2 linked regions of the Oreochromis niloticus genome follow. The main gene of each other region encodes a partner of the protein of the gene in region 2 in a complex. Links are inferred from orthologs where the notes say so. Each region holds a gene or a part of one and is shown on either strand. Other genes may lie near its edges.

Region 1 (7,320 bases), on a different chromosome or scaffold from region 2:
ACAAACCTGACCTGAAACACCAGTGATCAAAAATAGAGTACTGAGGTTTGCACAATCTTTACCAGACTGATCACAAGACTCATAGTAATGATATGCATTCATGTGTGCCTTCAGTATAAGAGAAAAATACATTGTATAATAGATAATTTGGTTTAACAAACTCCTATTTGCATCTCAGCCTTCTTCTCATCCACAGAAATCAGAAATTTCTTTATACAATGATATAACTGAACTGTCTTACTTGTCCTCCAGTAGCACTTTAGTCATGGCTGGGAGGAATCTGTCCCAGTGGATATATCCTGAGCGCTCATCTTCCACCTGGTTGCACAGGAACAGGCTGTTGGGGGTTGCTTTGAATTTTCTAACAAAAATAATGCTTCTAATGTTACCCAGGATTTTATAACAGTCACATAATGGCACAGGAGATTCTGTAACATTACTGAAATGCACAATGTCAGAACCCTGTTTGCACATCCCATTACTGATCTTCCAAAATAGAACCAGACTACGGGAGGATGCTATACTGACCTCAGATGTGAACTTCTGTAGGTCTGCCTGAGTGGGAAAGAAACCCAGTGAATAGAAGATGGTGCCAATCTCCCTAGAGAACAACAACAAGAAGTGCATTAAAAGTATTTAAAAGGACAGTTTCAGTTAGTTTCACTAATTCCTGTGTGCTATGAACCATCTCACCGCAATGTCCTACTAAAGCCCACTCAGCCAGTGGAAAGCCTTGAGACAAACCACAAACTTTATTTCTCACAGCCAGCGTCCAAATAACCCACTTCAACCAAACTATTTACCAGTGGAAACAGCTGCGTAATCTGAACTACACAGCATTTTGTATGTCTTGAGACTTGAGTCCCACATTTTTATTGCCTCTAATATTCAGAAGTCCACACTGCAGGATGGACACCTATGCTATATCTAACAGGGAAACTCACAGGTTATGTAGATCTCAGCAAATGTGATGGAAATAAAACAAAGAAAAGGAAGTGTGGCTGAAGCCAGGAGTAGTCAGCTCTCAGAGATTGGGCCACTTGACTTTCAGGCTCATGTTATTTATGTAGAAATGAAGTTAGAAACGCAAATACTTTATATTTGTTTTTGTCAAACTAAATGCCAAATCTCTAACCTAAATAATTAGTTTTTCCCTGGACAGACCAACAATTTTAGGTTAGCAAAATGTCCTAAACTGTCCAAGCCCATGTTTAGTTTGTCAGACTGTATAAAAGATATACAGTCTGGTTACCTTAGCAGGGAGGACACTTTGTGTGCAGTTTCCACTCTATTTAAAACCTCCAGTGAGAAATTCAAAAACTTACAGACAGGAAACCTACTGAGAGCAGATTTAAATAAACAGCTGTGTTTCGACCTTTCTGCATCTGCATAAGTTAGTAAAAAAAATATCTAGGAATTAAAGCTGCTGTGACCTCTAATAATGCTAATTAAAAAATATTCTACTCTACCATTTAGTTTAATTTTACATAGAAAGCACACACTTGGCTTAGAAAACATGCTGCACTGTCGCTGAAGGGAAAGGACATGCACATTTGTTTGCCAGATGTTTTCATCTGTGTGGCTGATTAGAGTTCCTCAGGTTGCACAAAGCTCTGGTGAGATTTTAAGAATATTTCTTACAGCCATTTATTGAAACATGTACATTCATAAGTGGAAATACAGACACTGTGTAATTCTAACTCTCTTGAAAGTCAGTGTTCTTGTAATTTTGTAGTCTTCAGGAATAGTTCTCCAGGCAGACAGTGTTTCATTTTGTGTTTTTGTATCCAGGTATGCTGTTACTGCATCGGCTGTGTTTGGGGTCAGACTCGTTGATGAAAAATGGGAGCTCTTACCAATCAGATGGTATTCCACGGTGAATCAAAATCTGTCAGTACTTTTCTTTATTCATAATTTCAGGAATTTTGAATAAATTCACCAACACCACTGACTGAAATGCAGCTGTACTTTGCTTATGATTGCCACCGATATTTGGCCCAGTCCTTGCAAAAACATCAAAAACCTCCATGGCACTTCTGTTTTCAAAATAAAACTAAGATCCCTGTATTTTCATGGCAAGGTTATGTGAAAACAGTTTTTGTGTAATTTGGCATACCTCATCCTTTTCTTTCTGTTTCCCTTCATTAATCTTTGGGAATCACCTTGTTGGTGCAAAAATACTATTTTATGCCTTTCAAATGTATTATCTTTGGAATTTTTTGCTGATTCAACTAAAGAAATGGGGAAAAAATTATGTGTTTTTGCAACAGTCTGCTAATAGAAGGTGACCAGTAACCGTTAAAACAGGTTCTTTGCTGAATTGTTTTGAGATTGCTGAGTTCTTTGGTGTTGACACAACACTGGTTCTGGTCCCCAGAGGTAGGTGTCTTGTTTATGCTAAAGTGATTCACAGGTAAGTGTTAAGTGGGGTCGCAAAAAAAAAAAAGGTGCAACACTGGAACAAAAATGAAAGAGCTATTGCTAAAAATTACAATAAAATCTGGCTCCTTGGTAACAAAATGCAAAGAAATGAGGGCTGGCTCAAGATTTTCTCACAAGACTGCATCTTGTGTACTTGTTAAAACGTTTAAGGTCCTTTGGATCTTCATAGTAATCAGCTTCATAGTACCTATTAAGTATCTTTCCGGTAATAAAAGTAAATGGCTTGTCTTGTTTTACCCACTTGATATCCACTGTGTTATCAGACTTGGTGTCAAAGGCTTGAAAAGCGCCTTTGAGCTTCTTGAGGATCTTGGTATTAAGCACGGTGGCCTCTGACAGACAAAATAAAGAACACATAGTGAAGCATTAGCTTAGCTGGCTTAGTTCTGGAGGAAATAATGACAATACTTTCATCAAAGATCAGCCACTATGACGGGTCGGCACAGAGTTTTAGACTGAAACTTTCACTGTGGTCTCAAGATGTTCAATTTGTAGACAAACTGAAAATGAAAGTAACTATTACCAACCTGCACTTTTGCTGTTCTCCGCCATGTTTGTCCGGTCGCTTTTCTGTTGCCCAGCAACAGTATGGTAGGAGACCAATTAAACGCCTCTGACGTTTGCCATCTTTTAATCGCCAGAAAACCTTTATTGTCGAATTACATAGAGCTACTAATAACACATTATTAATTAATTTATTTTTTATTTAAAGCTCACCGTCTTGCTGAAGAAGTCATTCGATTAAAAAAAAAGCCTTCCAACAACGTGACCCCTCAGAAGTTCCTGATATAATGAAGCCACGAAAATGTGTTTTCATACTATAAAGGTTTTTTCCCAAGGATTTTGTTAATTTTCTATGAAATAATCTATAAGTATCACATTTAAACACAAGACAGACTGAAAACAAACAAAGAGAGCAGAGAAATACTTGTTTCTTATTTATTTTCTTCCGCCTTATAAATGCATAAAATGGTTTAAAAAATTAGCAAAAAAAATTTAAAAAATTAACAAATAGTACACTCTTTCACACTAAAAACATTTCAAGTATGTAGATAATGATAGCATTTTACATTACTTTTCATTTTATTTCAATGGGGCCACCATAAAGATTATTTTCTTTCATACTCCTTGTCTAGTGAATTCAATATGTACTCATTTTACTTGCTGACATAATATTAAGGAGAGCGAATTTTCATTTCAGCTGAACCAACTGTGAATCTGAAACATTATAAAAAACAGCTAAAAGTGCAGAAAGTCCACCATCCACATGTACATGAATCCACAGTGTCTACTGACATTTGGGGAGGAGGACACATCCAAGTAACATCCAGTCAAATGATGCAGTAGCTCATAAACTGGTGGTATAAAGCAAACAAATACATTAAATAATCATGGCAGAAAATGGTAAATAAATGGTAAATAAATTCAATTAAAGTAATAACACATTTTCCAACTTAAAAAAAAAAAATTAAAAGGTCTCTTTTAATCATGGCTTCTGTTTTATTGTTGCAACTAATATTACATTCTGCCTTTAACCCATTAAAAGCTCTGGGAATCATTGAGCATCCCAATACAGTGGCAGAAATATTTTGACCAGAAAGACCTTTTGACCACCCATCTACATGTTTAACAGTCCAGTGAATTGTGCATTAGCAGAAACTCAGAACTCAGATCCAGAAGAGGACCATTTTTGGGGATGCTGATTAAGAAGCTATCCCATACAGTACATAAGAGACTGAGGCCTAGATGACAGAGTGGTGTTTTCTCTAGTGTGTTTATGTGTGTGTGTTTTATATCTCTGGTTGGCCCTGATGTACAGGGATATTGTGGTCCTGCCCCAGATCTTCTATTGTGACTTCTGGGATTTGATGTCTCTCATATTCATCCATTTGCCTTATGGGTTCAACTTCCTTTCCTTGTACATCCTCTTGAAGCTGAATCTCTTCACGAATCTGTTCCTCTCTCTGCTCCACTGCACCGACGCTGTCCACGTTAGCAATAGCGTTTGATAGCTGTTCCTCCACTACTGCTTCCTGCTCCTGCTGAGGTGCATTGTTGTTGCTTGGGTCCTTTAAGGTAGAAAGTTATGATGAGGTGTTGTTTTTGCAGCCAAATATAATAAAGGTGTGAATAAAACTACATCAAGCTTGAACAGTATTAACAGTACTTCCAATACATTTGCAGTACCTGTGTGTGAGTGAGTGAAGGGGAGAGCAGCTCAGATAGAGCCAGCAGACCATCCTGGTTTAGATCCTGAGTCTGTAGTAAGAAATCTACCATAGAAACCACCTGAAAGCAACATGCAAACATACACAAATATCACAGAGTGAAGGAAAAAGGCCAACACCTTGTCAGTTCAAATACACACACATACAGTCGCTCCTGCTAACCTGCTCACTGGCCTCTGCTCCAGGTATATGATGGGAGTTAAAAATCTGAGAGGAGCTTCATCATCTCCAAGCCATCTAAGAACCCACTGCGATCATAATCATAAAGGCCAAACAGGAAGAATACCTCTGGAACATAGCACAGCACAATTCACAATTATACAATCAAATAAAAAAGACTTTATTAGATTCTGACTAATAAAGTCTACATTATTTGGCAATGGTGATCCCAGTCAGAACCCATCAGTGTAATATCTACTGGTAAGAGGCATTGTTTACCTTGTTCCCAGGTGGTGATTTCTGGTCCTCCTTGACCTCCATTCTTCAGGCTTGATTGAATGTAACTCTGTCTCAAACTGTGGTACACACAACAAAAAGCACAGTTTAGAAAAAATGTTAGAAAGCAGATTGGTAGTGCAACTGCCATGTGCTACAGACTCTTTCCACCCTTGTGCCATCTGGTAGAGGGTATAACACTCAAGCACCCTGTGCCAGACTCTTCAAGCTCCTAAACCCCACGCTCCCGTCTCCAAAAACTTGGACTTCACTATTTCAGTTCAGATGCACACAGACTTCTGCTCACAGAGCCTGTTTCAGCTCTTTAAATCATTTATAACATGTTTAAAAGAAGTTAAAGATCCCCTTCAATCATGTTCAGTGATGTACAAAATAACTTGTGTCTCATGTTGTGAGAAGAGGTTAGAAGAGAAATCAATACCTCTTCATTCATTAAAAAATCTAGAATGTAGCAATAAAAATAACCAATTTTATTAACCGCTTTAGATGGCAGCTGATCGCAGCTGATCGCAGCTGACACAGGGCGAGATACAGGGTACACCCTGGATACAAACAGACAGATAACCATAAACTTGCACAGTTACAGGACTCACTGACAGAGTGTAAAGTCATTAAAAGGTGGGGAGCGGAAAAACAAGAAGTGAAAGTGAGCTGACTGAATATAATTTTTAAGGAAATTAAACAATGAGTTTCCTGACATCACTGTGCGCACTTTTATTTAACTCCAATTCAGCTCCTGTTCTTTTTTATTGTTAATGACTGATGAAAAATTCTGCAATGTGATTTTTTTTCAATCAATAACAATAAACTAATTAACCTCAAATTCATGTTGCTGGACTGTGGAAGGAATTTGGGGCCAAACATATGATTTTCTTGCTGTGAAACAACAGATGTTAGCCACTGCGCCACCGTGTTGCTCAGCAATGTTATTATTCACACACACACACACACACACACACACACACACACACACACACACACACACATATATGTATATATATACATACATATAGATATAGATATATAGATATATATAGATAGATATAAATATAAATATGTTCACCTTGCTGGAAATAATATGACAAATTCGTCCATAGAAGTCCAATAGCACTGTTTTTTAAATCAAGGCTGTGAAGTGAGAAATGTTCATTGGCACATGCCTTAAACTCATATTTTAGGTACATGTGCTATGTACTTGTATATGTAATCTTAAGTGAAGCAGATGGCAGATGTGTACTTATAAATGATTTCCTATATTTGTGAATAGACTCTTGACATCTAGTGAACAGGTATTAAACTGGTTACACACCCTTAATATAATAATAGAAACTTCTTAACATTCTTAACACATAACACGTCGTAGCAGGCGGTTCTACCTTTCATAATCTTACATGAAGTAGATGGTAACAATGATGATCTGTGACAGATTTTGATTGAAGCAGCTGTGTTGAAGGCAACTCAGTTGTGCTCTAAAGGAAACACCTTTGGCCTGAATTTTGGATCAGCTATGAGTCATGAGCTTTACATGAGACTTAAAAAGGTATTAAGGCAAGATCTGGTGGTAAGAACCGAGACTGCTCTCAGGGCATCATTTGTTTTAACATCTTAAACTTCATGCACTCCATCACATGCCATAAATGAAGCAATGTTGCAACAGTGAGACACTCTAAATGCTTGAATAATCTTTTTACAAATGTTGATTCAGGCTGCACAAAGGCCTGCTTTGAACCAACATGTATTATTTACTAAGGGTGGTGTAAATTCCAACTGCTATTCCATACAGCTAACATTTATCTGGTCTTACATGCAATAACCTTAAGATGAAAGTATGATAGCGTGTACACATTATTTAATCTTACCAACAAATGGAAAGAAACTGCATCTGTCGTGTGGTTAGATATTTCTTCTTTTGTTCTCTGAACAGTTTATTACAGGCAAGTTCAAACTATTTCAGCACAGTAGCAGCTATGTGTGCTGAGATAATATTTGCAGTGTGGTGAGGAGAACCCCATAAAGGAAATTAATGCAGCATAAATGAGCTCTTAGGTACATGTAATCTTATCATTTTATAGTACAGGCCACATCATTAGCACGTCAGAGCAGCCAAAGTCCACAGCCAAGTCAGAAAGCTGCTGTTGAGTGAAATGACTTCAGATGTTCAATAACAGCAGACTGTACATGTGCCACTCACCTG
Region 2 (7,826 bases):
TTTCTTCACTGTGCCATCTGTTATCCAGTCTTTGGCCACAGATAGGTTGATCTAGTACGAGCAACAATTAGGGGACATTCAGACTCTTGCTATTTAAAGTAAAACCATTTTAACAGCATCATAAATTAATCACAAGAAGTAATCTCTAAATGCAGACCTGACTCCACAACACGCCAGACTGGATGATAGATTTCCATGTGCAGCATACTTCAGCACAGTTTAGCAGTTCTTGTAATTCTAAGTACTGAAAGATCTGAGGATTAAAATCACAAATCATCTTTTTTTTTTTATCACATGGAAAAACAGCAGACAAATGACACTTGACTTTTCTCTGAATACTTAAAGGGAGTTACAGTAAAACTCTGGTTTATCATGTTGTTGCCATGAGGTGATGAAATATTACAGTTAGGTTTCTAAACTTTAACCAAACATTGAAGCATATTTAAAATAAAAACAATATTTTTGATAATACACAAATGTGGACATAGGATTTAGACACCATTTTTTGTATAAATACAACTTCCTCGCTTTTTGTTTGATGTTATTGGCCCTCTGACAGGGTCTGCTGGCACCTCTGCCCATATTTGTGGCTGCAGATGTGAACAAGCACCCAAAGCCAAACATAGTCATGCTGAAACACTGTTCATCGACCGAGGACAGAAGCAAATTCCACACAAACAGATGCTTCAACTGGTGAGTGGAGTCAGTGTTGGCGAGTGGCTATATTATATATATATATGCATACATGGACTCACAGGTCAGTTTATTAGGTACACCTTGCTTATACCCCTTTTTGCCTACAAGATATCCTTAATGGTGGAAATGTCTCATTTCGTTACATCCCAAAAGATGCTGCACAGTGGACTCATCTCAAACTGGTTTCATGAACATGATGATGTGAACTTTGTGTGTTGTCCTATTGGAAGCAGCTATCAAAAGATGGGTACACTGTGGTCATACAGGGACAGTGAGCAACAATACCCAGGTAGGCTGTGGCGTTTAAACTGTGCTGATTTAGTACAGAGAGTGTACCAAGCAGCAGCAGCCCGAGCAGTCAGTGTTGCAGAATAAATTGAGACTCAGAGCAGCCAATGGCTGTGCAAATTGTAGCCTCTGATCCCTATTGCCAGCTTACAGATGTGGCACCTGATCATCTGCTGCAAGGATCCATGTGTTGTGCATTCAGAGATGCTTTTCTGCTTAACTTGGTTTTGATGAGTGGTTGTTTGAGATACTCCTGCCTTCCTATCAGCTCAAAACAGTCTGGCCAGTTTCCTCTGACCTCTGGCATGAACAAAACATTTTCTTTTCCCCCACAGAGAACTGCCACACACTGGATATTTTCTCTTCTTTGGACCTTTTGCTGTAAACCTTAGAGATGATTGCGTGGGAAAATTGCAGTGCATGAGCAGTTCATGAAATGCTCAGACTATCCTGTGTGGCACCATAAACATACCAGTCATTTAAATGGCCTTTCTTCCCCAGTCTGATGCTCGGTTTGAATTTTAGCCCTGACCACGTCTACATGTCTAAATGCACTGAGTTGCTGCCATGCGAGATATTTGCATTAACAGATAGTTGAACATGTGTACCTAATGAAGTGGCCTGTAAGTGTATATACACACGCACACTCTGGTATGTATTTAGATTAAAGGAAAATGATCTGCAAGTGACTTTAACCAAATACCCTCAAAGAGAGTGGACTGTATGTTTACAGTGGAGTCTATTTAAAGAGTTATGTAACTGATATCTGAGCTCATCGCTGACTGCTCAGAGAACAAGGGGCTGTTGCAGCCTAAAAAAACCAAAAAACCAAAAACAGACTAGCCATCATCTTTCTGTGTACAAACTCCAGGCTAAATACAAAGAAAACTGAGACAAGAATGCTGCTCGCTGTAAGAGAATCTACCTTCAGTAAGAGGCTGTTTGGGAGCACAGAGAGTGCATCACATCCTTTTTCACTCTGCTGATGCTTGTTGTCCATTTCAGTAAATCCCACTTGTAACATCAGGGGAAAATTCACACACACACACACACACACACACACACACACACACACACACACACACACAAAAGATAAAAAGTGTTAATTCAGTTTTGAAGTAGTCTCCTGTCCCTTTCAAGTCCTATCTTTACACCATGGAGCAGTGATACACTTAAGGCTGAGGCATCTAGCTTTTAAAGGGGCCTCCAGTTTCTCAGTGAGAGCTGGAGTGTTCATTCATTTTAACTTAGGAAAATATACATTTCTGCACAAAAGTATTGACTCCAACCAACCAATCCAATCAATCATAAATCCAAAGATAATTTTGGTTTATGACAACTGAGTTAAGAATATAAGTAAAAAGGTGCACAGGGACAAAATGAGTCATGGCAGTGGGAGGATACAACGTGGGAGCATGACTTTTAGTCTGGCAAATTTCTTAACCTCAGTGAGTGTTTTCTCTGGCTTTGTACAGGAGGGAGCGAGAAAAAAAAACAGCCAACAGACCTCAGTATAAATTCTTCAGGAAAAAAAAACCCTAAAATGTTGACCTACCAGCTTTCATCCTCTTGTGTAATTTGACCCAGCTCAGCAGTTTGGTAAGTGCAACCTGCCAGCATTTCCTCTCAAAATGCTTTTTTGTCAAGTCCATCTGCAGAGTCAACTCCAGGGTATCTCTCTTGCTCTGTGCAATGAACCTCTTCCACTTCCTGTCACCCAACAAGAAACAGCTCATCATTAATTCAGCAAACAGGGAGGCAGGCTGTCAGGAGCCAGGCTTAACTAACAAAGGATGGGAATCAAGTAACAAAAAAATAATAATTTATCTAATTTATAAAACAGTTTATTATGATTATAAAGCTAAAGCTGGACTGACAAAGACTGACCGAGTGAAACAGAACACCCTGATAACATTACTTATTAACAGTAAGAGAAAGTCTTTAGGTTCTCTGAAGCTGAGTTACTGTTTCGCAGTAAAAATACAACCAGATCAAATTCACCGTGCACCACCAGTTTGAGGACCTACAAGAACTAACTCAGCAGCAGCTGCTTTCAATAACTTCGATTGCAATCAGTGGAAGCAGAATGTGAGAAAGTTTTGTGTCCCCTCTGACATCTTTCCTGCCACTGTGGCTTCACTCAGAGCATGAGTGATTATTTTGCTGGTTTGTAGCTTTAATCATTATTCTGCTGCAGGTAGAGTCTGTGGTTGAGCTCAACCTCATGGCTCGTTCATTCAGGTAAATAAAAATGTCATTTTATTCTCAGTTCTTTTATATTTTTAGTATTTTAGTCTCTTTTTTTCTTTTCAGGCTCTCCTGGCTTTGCACTCTGTTGTGGAGCTGCTTGTGCTTTCCTCCTGAAGAAGGTAAGAATTTCAGTACTTTTATTTGCATAACCGACCACAAGTTTAATGTGATGTTTCTTTCCTGATAGGTTACAGTAGTGCACATGGCTACTATCTCTATGAGAGCCCGCAAACCTCTAGCAGATTTCATTCTGGACAGTCTTTGAATACAAACAATGAGAATGTTGGACGGCAAAGCTTTGTTTCCCGTCAGCCAGAAGCATTTACTTATGATAAAGGACAGGATGCTACCGCTGAGATGAAGCAAAGCCAGCCTGATAAGTTTCACGGGGCCTCTTCTGCTCCTCTTATAGAGCAAAATGAGCAGTCTGGTTATCACCATCCCTTTGACCTTTTAGTGAGGGGAAACATGCAGGAGCCTGTGAAGGGTGTCGCTTTCCCCACAATGAGTCATTTAAAGGAGTTTATAGAAAACATGAAGCATTCCTTCTTAGTACCAGGAAGTGACTTGAGTAGACATTTTGAAACTGCACGGGAAAAAATGAAAACTCTCGGAACATCCATGGACTATAGACCAACTCCTGAAAAAGGAGGCACTGCCTCTGGTGACAGCAAGAAAAATAATGATCGGATTGAAGAAGATGCCAACTACCAAACGCCAAATAAACTCCTCTCTTTCCCTGATCCTGTCGACTCCTCTGCAAGTCTCATTTCTTCCAGTGTTTATGACAACCAAAAATTTAGGCCGGGCACCACTTTCTACCCACACGATCATTTAGCAGCCACAGGTCTTGCTTCAAGAAATTTGGCACACGGTTTTCCCTGGGGAAACAATGACTTATCTGTGAGTGTGGATTCAGAACAATACAAACCACCAAAAAAAACACAATTTCCCTCCAGCTCCTTTCACAGGCAGGGTTCTTCCTATAGTAAACATGTGACTGCACCCCCTGTGAACCCTGCAAACAGCCCATCTCAAGATTTCAGCCAGTATTCAAGTGAGACCTCAAATTTAACACCTTATTGGAAGGATATGCTAAATCCAGTACATGTCTCTCAAAGTAGAGATCCTTTAATGAGGTACTGGAGACCACCCAGTGGCTTTGAACTCACTAAAGACTTCCACAGAGCAAGTCAAACTAATGTCCCATCTGCAAAAATCCTACCATCTGTATATTCCTATGGTAAAAAGCATCACCCCTCCATGCAGCATTATTGGCCCAAATACAAGACAAGAATAGGTGCTTCAGTCCAGGCACGTCAACCTACTGAGAGCAAAGAGTTGAGGACTGTAAAATATGCTCCCAACGTCCACTGGCCTCCATCAAGTGGTTCTGTCTCTTTAAGCTTTAATGACCCCTTACCCCAGTGGAGAAGAGGTCACATGGGTTATCAAAGCAGCCCACAATACCCGCAAATTCCTCATTATAAGCAAAAACAGATGGACAGAGCTCACTGGATGTTTACCGCCAAACCCTTGAGTTTTGTTCCCGGATACCACAAAGTCAGTGCTGTTCCCTTCGTCCTAAATGCCCATGCAAAACATGAGAATTCAAACCTCTACAATCAAAAACTCCTATCTACCTTTCAGAAACCGCATTACAATAGATTGAGAAATCCACCCCAGAGTGGGCTCGCATCTTATGGAGTAAGAAACCCACTGGGCTCATTTTCTAAACCACAGAGGCAAACTGTGAGGTCTGAACGTTTACAGCCTTTCATGCAACCAAACAGGCACATGCCTCGAGCCAGTGTGAGTAGACGGCCCAGACACTTGGCCAACTGGCGTTCTGAACAGCAGCCTAAACCTACAGGTTTGATGCCTAAGTGTGTTATTAAGAGGAACACAAAAAGCCTTCCTCCTCAAGAGTCCCGTAATACATCTCCATCATCTCTAAATCCATACGTTAAATCTAAAAACCGCTTCACACGGGCCGTAGCATATCTGTCAAAGGTCTGTTTCACACCCCGTATGGTGCAAGGGAAGAATAATAACAATCAGTGGAGACTGGTAAGAAGATGGCGTGAATGAAAGGACATGACAACTCAGTGTGCAGGACCGGGAAGAATGATGAACATGTTTTTGAAGGTATGAAAACCAAAATGTTGTAGTATTTTTGTCTGTGAACACATCTTCTGTCCTGGAAATCTGTCCTTTAAATAGACAACAGAGCATCGCACTACTGAGTAAATACTAAAACTGAGCACTGAAACTGGACCAACCTTATTCAACTTACTAATGATTTAAAAAAAATTCAATTTAATTTTATTTAGATGGCCACACAACAACATCTGCCTTGAGGTGCTTTACACTGTAACATTAAGACCCTGCAATAATACAGAGAAAACCCCAACAATCAGACGACCACATTTTGAGCGAGCATTTGGAGACAGTGGAAAGGGAAAAACTCCCTTTAAACAGGAAGAAAGCTCCAGCAGAACCGGTCTCAGGGAGGGGTGGCCATCTGCTCCAACTGCGGGTGAGAGAGGGAAGACGGGACAAAAGACACGCTGTGGGAGACAGCCAGAGATAGATAAATAATAATTAAATGCAAAATGGTGTATAAACACAGTGAATGAAGAAGTGCAGCCTAGGCCTGTTGCAGTGCAACTAAGGGAGGATTCAGAGTCACCTGATCAGGCCCTAACTATATGCTTTATCAAAAAAGAAAGTTTTAATCCTAATCTTAACAGTAGTCGGTGTGTCTGTCTCTTGAATATAAACTCAGAGCTGGCTCCACAGATGAGGGAGCTTTTTATTTACCTGAAGGCTTGATTTCATAAGCATATTGACCACTAATACTAAAACTACTGTTGCAGACTTTCTCTTAGATATTGCAAAGTTTCTCCAGGATCACGTGAGCCGGTACAGCTTCAGAATATAAGACATTGGATGTAAAATGCATTAAAGTAGTGCAGGTGACTCTGATCGTGAAATCGAGCTTTTAGGTCCACTGAATCCAATTCGTCCAATGAATGCTTTACTTTTCCAATGTCTGGATTTTATTTGCAGGTAACATTACTGACAAGTGGTCTATGTACATAGAAGTATTCGTAATCTTAATGGCCATTCTCTAAAACCTAAAAACTGAAAAACTTAGATTTAATTTAATAGGATTGGTCTTCAGCAGCAAATCCATTTCCTGTTCTTCTACCTACATCGACTATTTCAGTAAGAACCTGAAAGTGTTACAATTTTGACTTGTCTTGATTGCCACATTTGATGGTAGTCCTCATTTTAAATCATCATTGTAAGGATAAAAACAGTTTGCTGGATATATTAGCAGTCCAGAATAAATTCTACAGTCTATATCCATCTAACTTTGTGGACAGAAAAGCAGCTGTAACTGTCTTATAGGTTGCATTTATTTTACAGTTGGCTTCATGTTGGAGATGATGTAAATACTGGTGTGAAGATCAGTCTGAACTGACTTTATGGTTCTAAAACAGGATTAAATATTTAAAATGAGTTTTTAAATCCAGGCTGTAGATGGTCTGATTATATTCTGTTTGTAATTTATACTGCAATATGTTCACAGTCAGACATCATTTTTAAACGAAAAATTGATTTCTGAAATGTGTAAATTGATATTGTTTTCCAAAAGCAATCAAGGTAATCTGATTTACAGGAGAACTACAGGTTTTTTGTTTTTGGTTTTTTTAATCCAGATTTGTTCATTTGCTTGCATCTGTATTTGGTTCACATCAGGCTGCAAGTAAATAACAAAACTTAAATGTGGTAAGATTCCTGCTTTATGAGTGGATGATGCTGACTCTTTTTCTTTTTTGTTTTGTGTTTTAAAGATAAGTCTCCCTCTACATTAAGATGCATTCATATTCCTCAGTCCAGTGAATAAATGGAGACTCTGCTCTTTGCCTGTTGCCATGGTGAATCTGGTGCTGGAGCTCCGCTGATGATGGCTATTTTTTACTGCTTATGCACAGGCTTAACTTGAGCTGAACATATTCAGCTGATTGAACTTTCTAGAACCACAAACCCAGAGTTTAGCAGCTCAGCATTAATCAACTTGGAGTTTGTTGAACCTGCTTCTAAAACAGATCCCATTAAGGCTGTAGTTGAAGTCTTGCTTTTGAAAGTCACTTAAATGGTAACTTAAGCATCAAGAAAACCTAATTAAAGCCACTTGAAAAGCACATTAGTGGGCAATGTAAACAAGCAACGCATGAGTCATTGTTTGCATGTGCTTGAAACACGATGAAGTGTGGGTGAAAGGGGGCGGAGGAATATGAACATGATCTTCTCTGGACCTCTTCTGGTGGCCTAACATGTCTTCAGGGGTTAGGAGTAAAGGCTAAAATCAAGAGAAAGTGAGCCACCGTGTGTTCGTTTCAAGAAAAACCGGGGGTCTACGTGCCAGTGCACAGACTGGAAATGATTAACTGTACTGCTTCAACATGGCATAAATGAAGCTGTCATTAAAGCCCGTAAAAGTAAAATAAATTGGGATATCATCTTTTACATTCAGCGGGGGGTTGGTGGGGGATGATCTGAACTTGTTCTCCAATGTTTAT

What was found. Proteins that work in one complex are often made in the same cells at the same time.
Region 1: fbxl13 (region 2) and drc8 share a complex: the UniProt entries of both Homo sapiens proteins name them as parts of the nexin-dynein regulatory complex. The link is inferred for Oreochromis niloticus from reciprocal best matches to the Homo sapiens genes FBXL13 and DRC8.

Annotation. Positions count from the first base shown.
Region 1 is NC_031965.2:25,792,799-25,800,118, reverse strand, and holds the start of drc8 (dynein regulatory complex protein 8), read right to left. Parts: upstream 3,135-7,320; 5' UTR 2,995-3,134; coding exon 2,970-2,994; intron 2,775-2,969; coding exon 2,684-2,774; intron 602-2,683; coding exon 529-601; intron 319-528; coding exon 242-318; intron 1-241. Other genes in the region: cgref1 (cell growth regulator with EF hand domain protein 1), read right to left, coding at 4,870-4,958, 5,109-5,185, 7,318-7,320. UniProt on the Homo sapiens protein: Component of the nexin-dynein regulatory complex (N-DRC), a key regulator of ciliary/flagellar motility which maintains the alignment and integrity of the distal axoneme and regulates microtubule sliding in motile axonemes.
Region 2 is NC_031972.2:56,431,081-56,438,906, forward strand, and holds the start of fbxl13 (dynein regulatory complex subunit 6), read right to left. Parts: upstream 3,107-7,826; 5' UTR 2,986-3,106; exon of another isoform or gene 2,872-2,985; intron 2,695-2,871; 5' UTR 2,637-2,694; coding exon 2,540-2,636; intron 1,999-2,539; coding exon 1,910-1,998; intron 254-1,909; coding exon 158-253; intron 52-157; coding exon 1-51. Other genes in the region: uncharacterized protein LOC100695371, read left to right, coding at 3,209-3,225, 3,298-3,353, 3,422-5,325. UniProt on the Homo sapiens protein: Substrate-recognition component of the SCF (SKP1-CUL1-F-box protein)-type E3 ubiquitin ligase complex.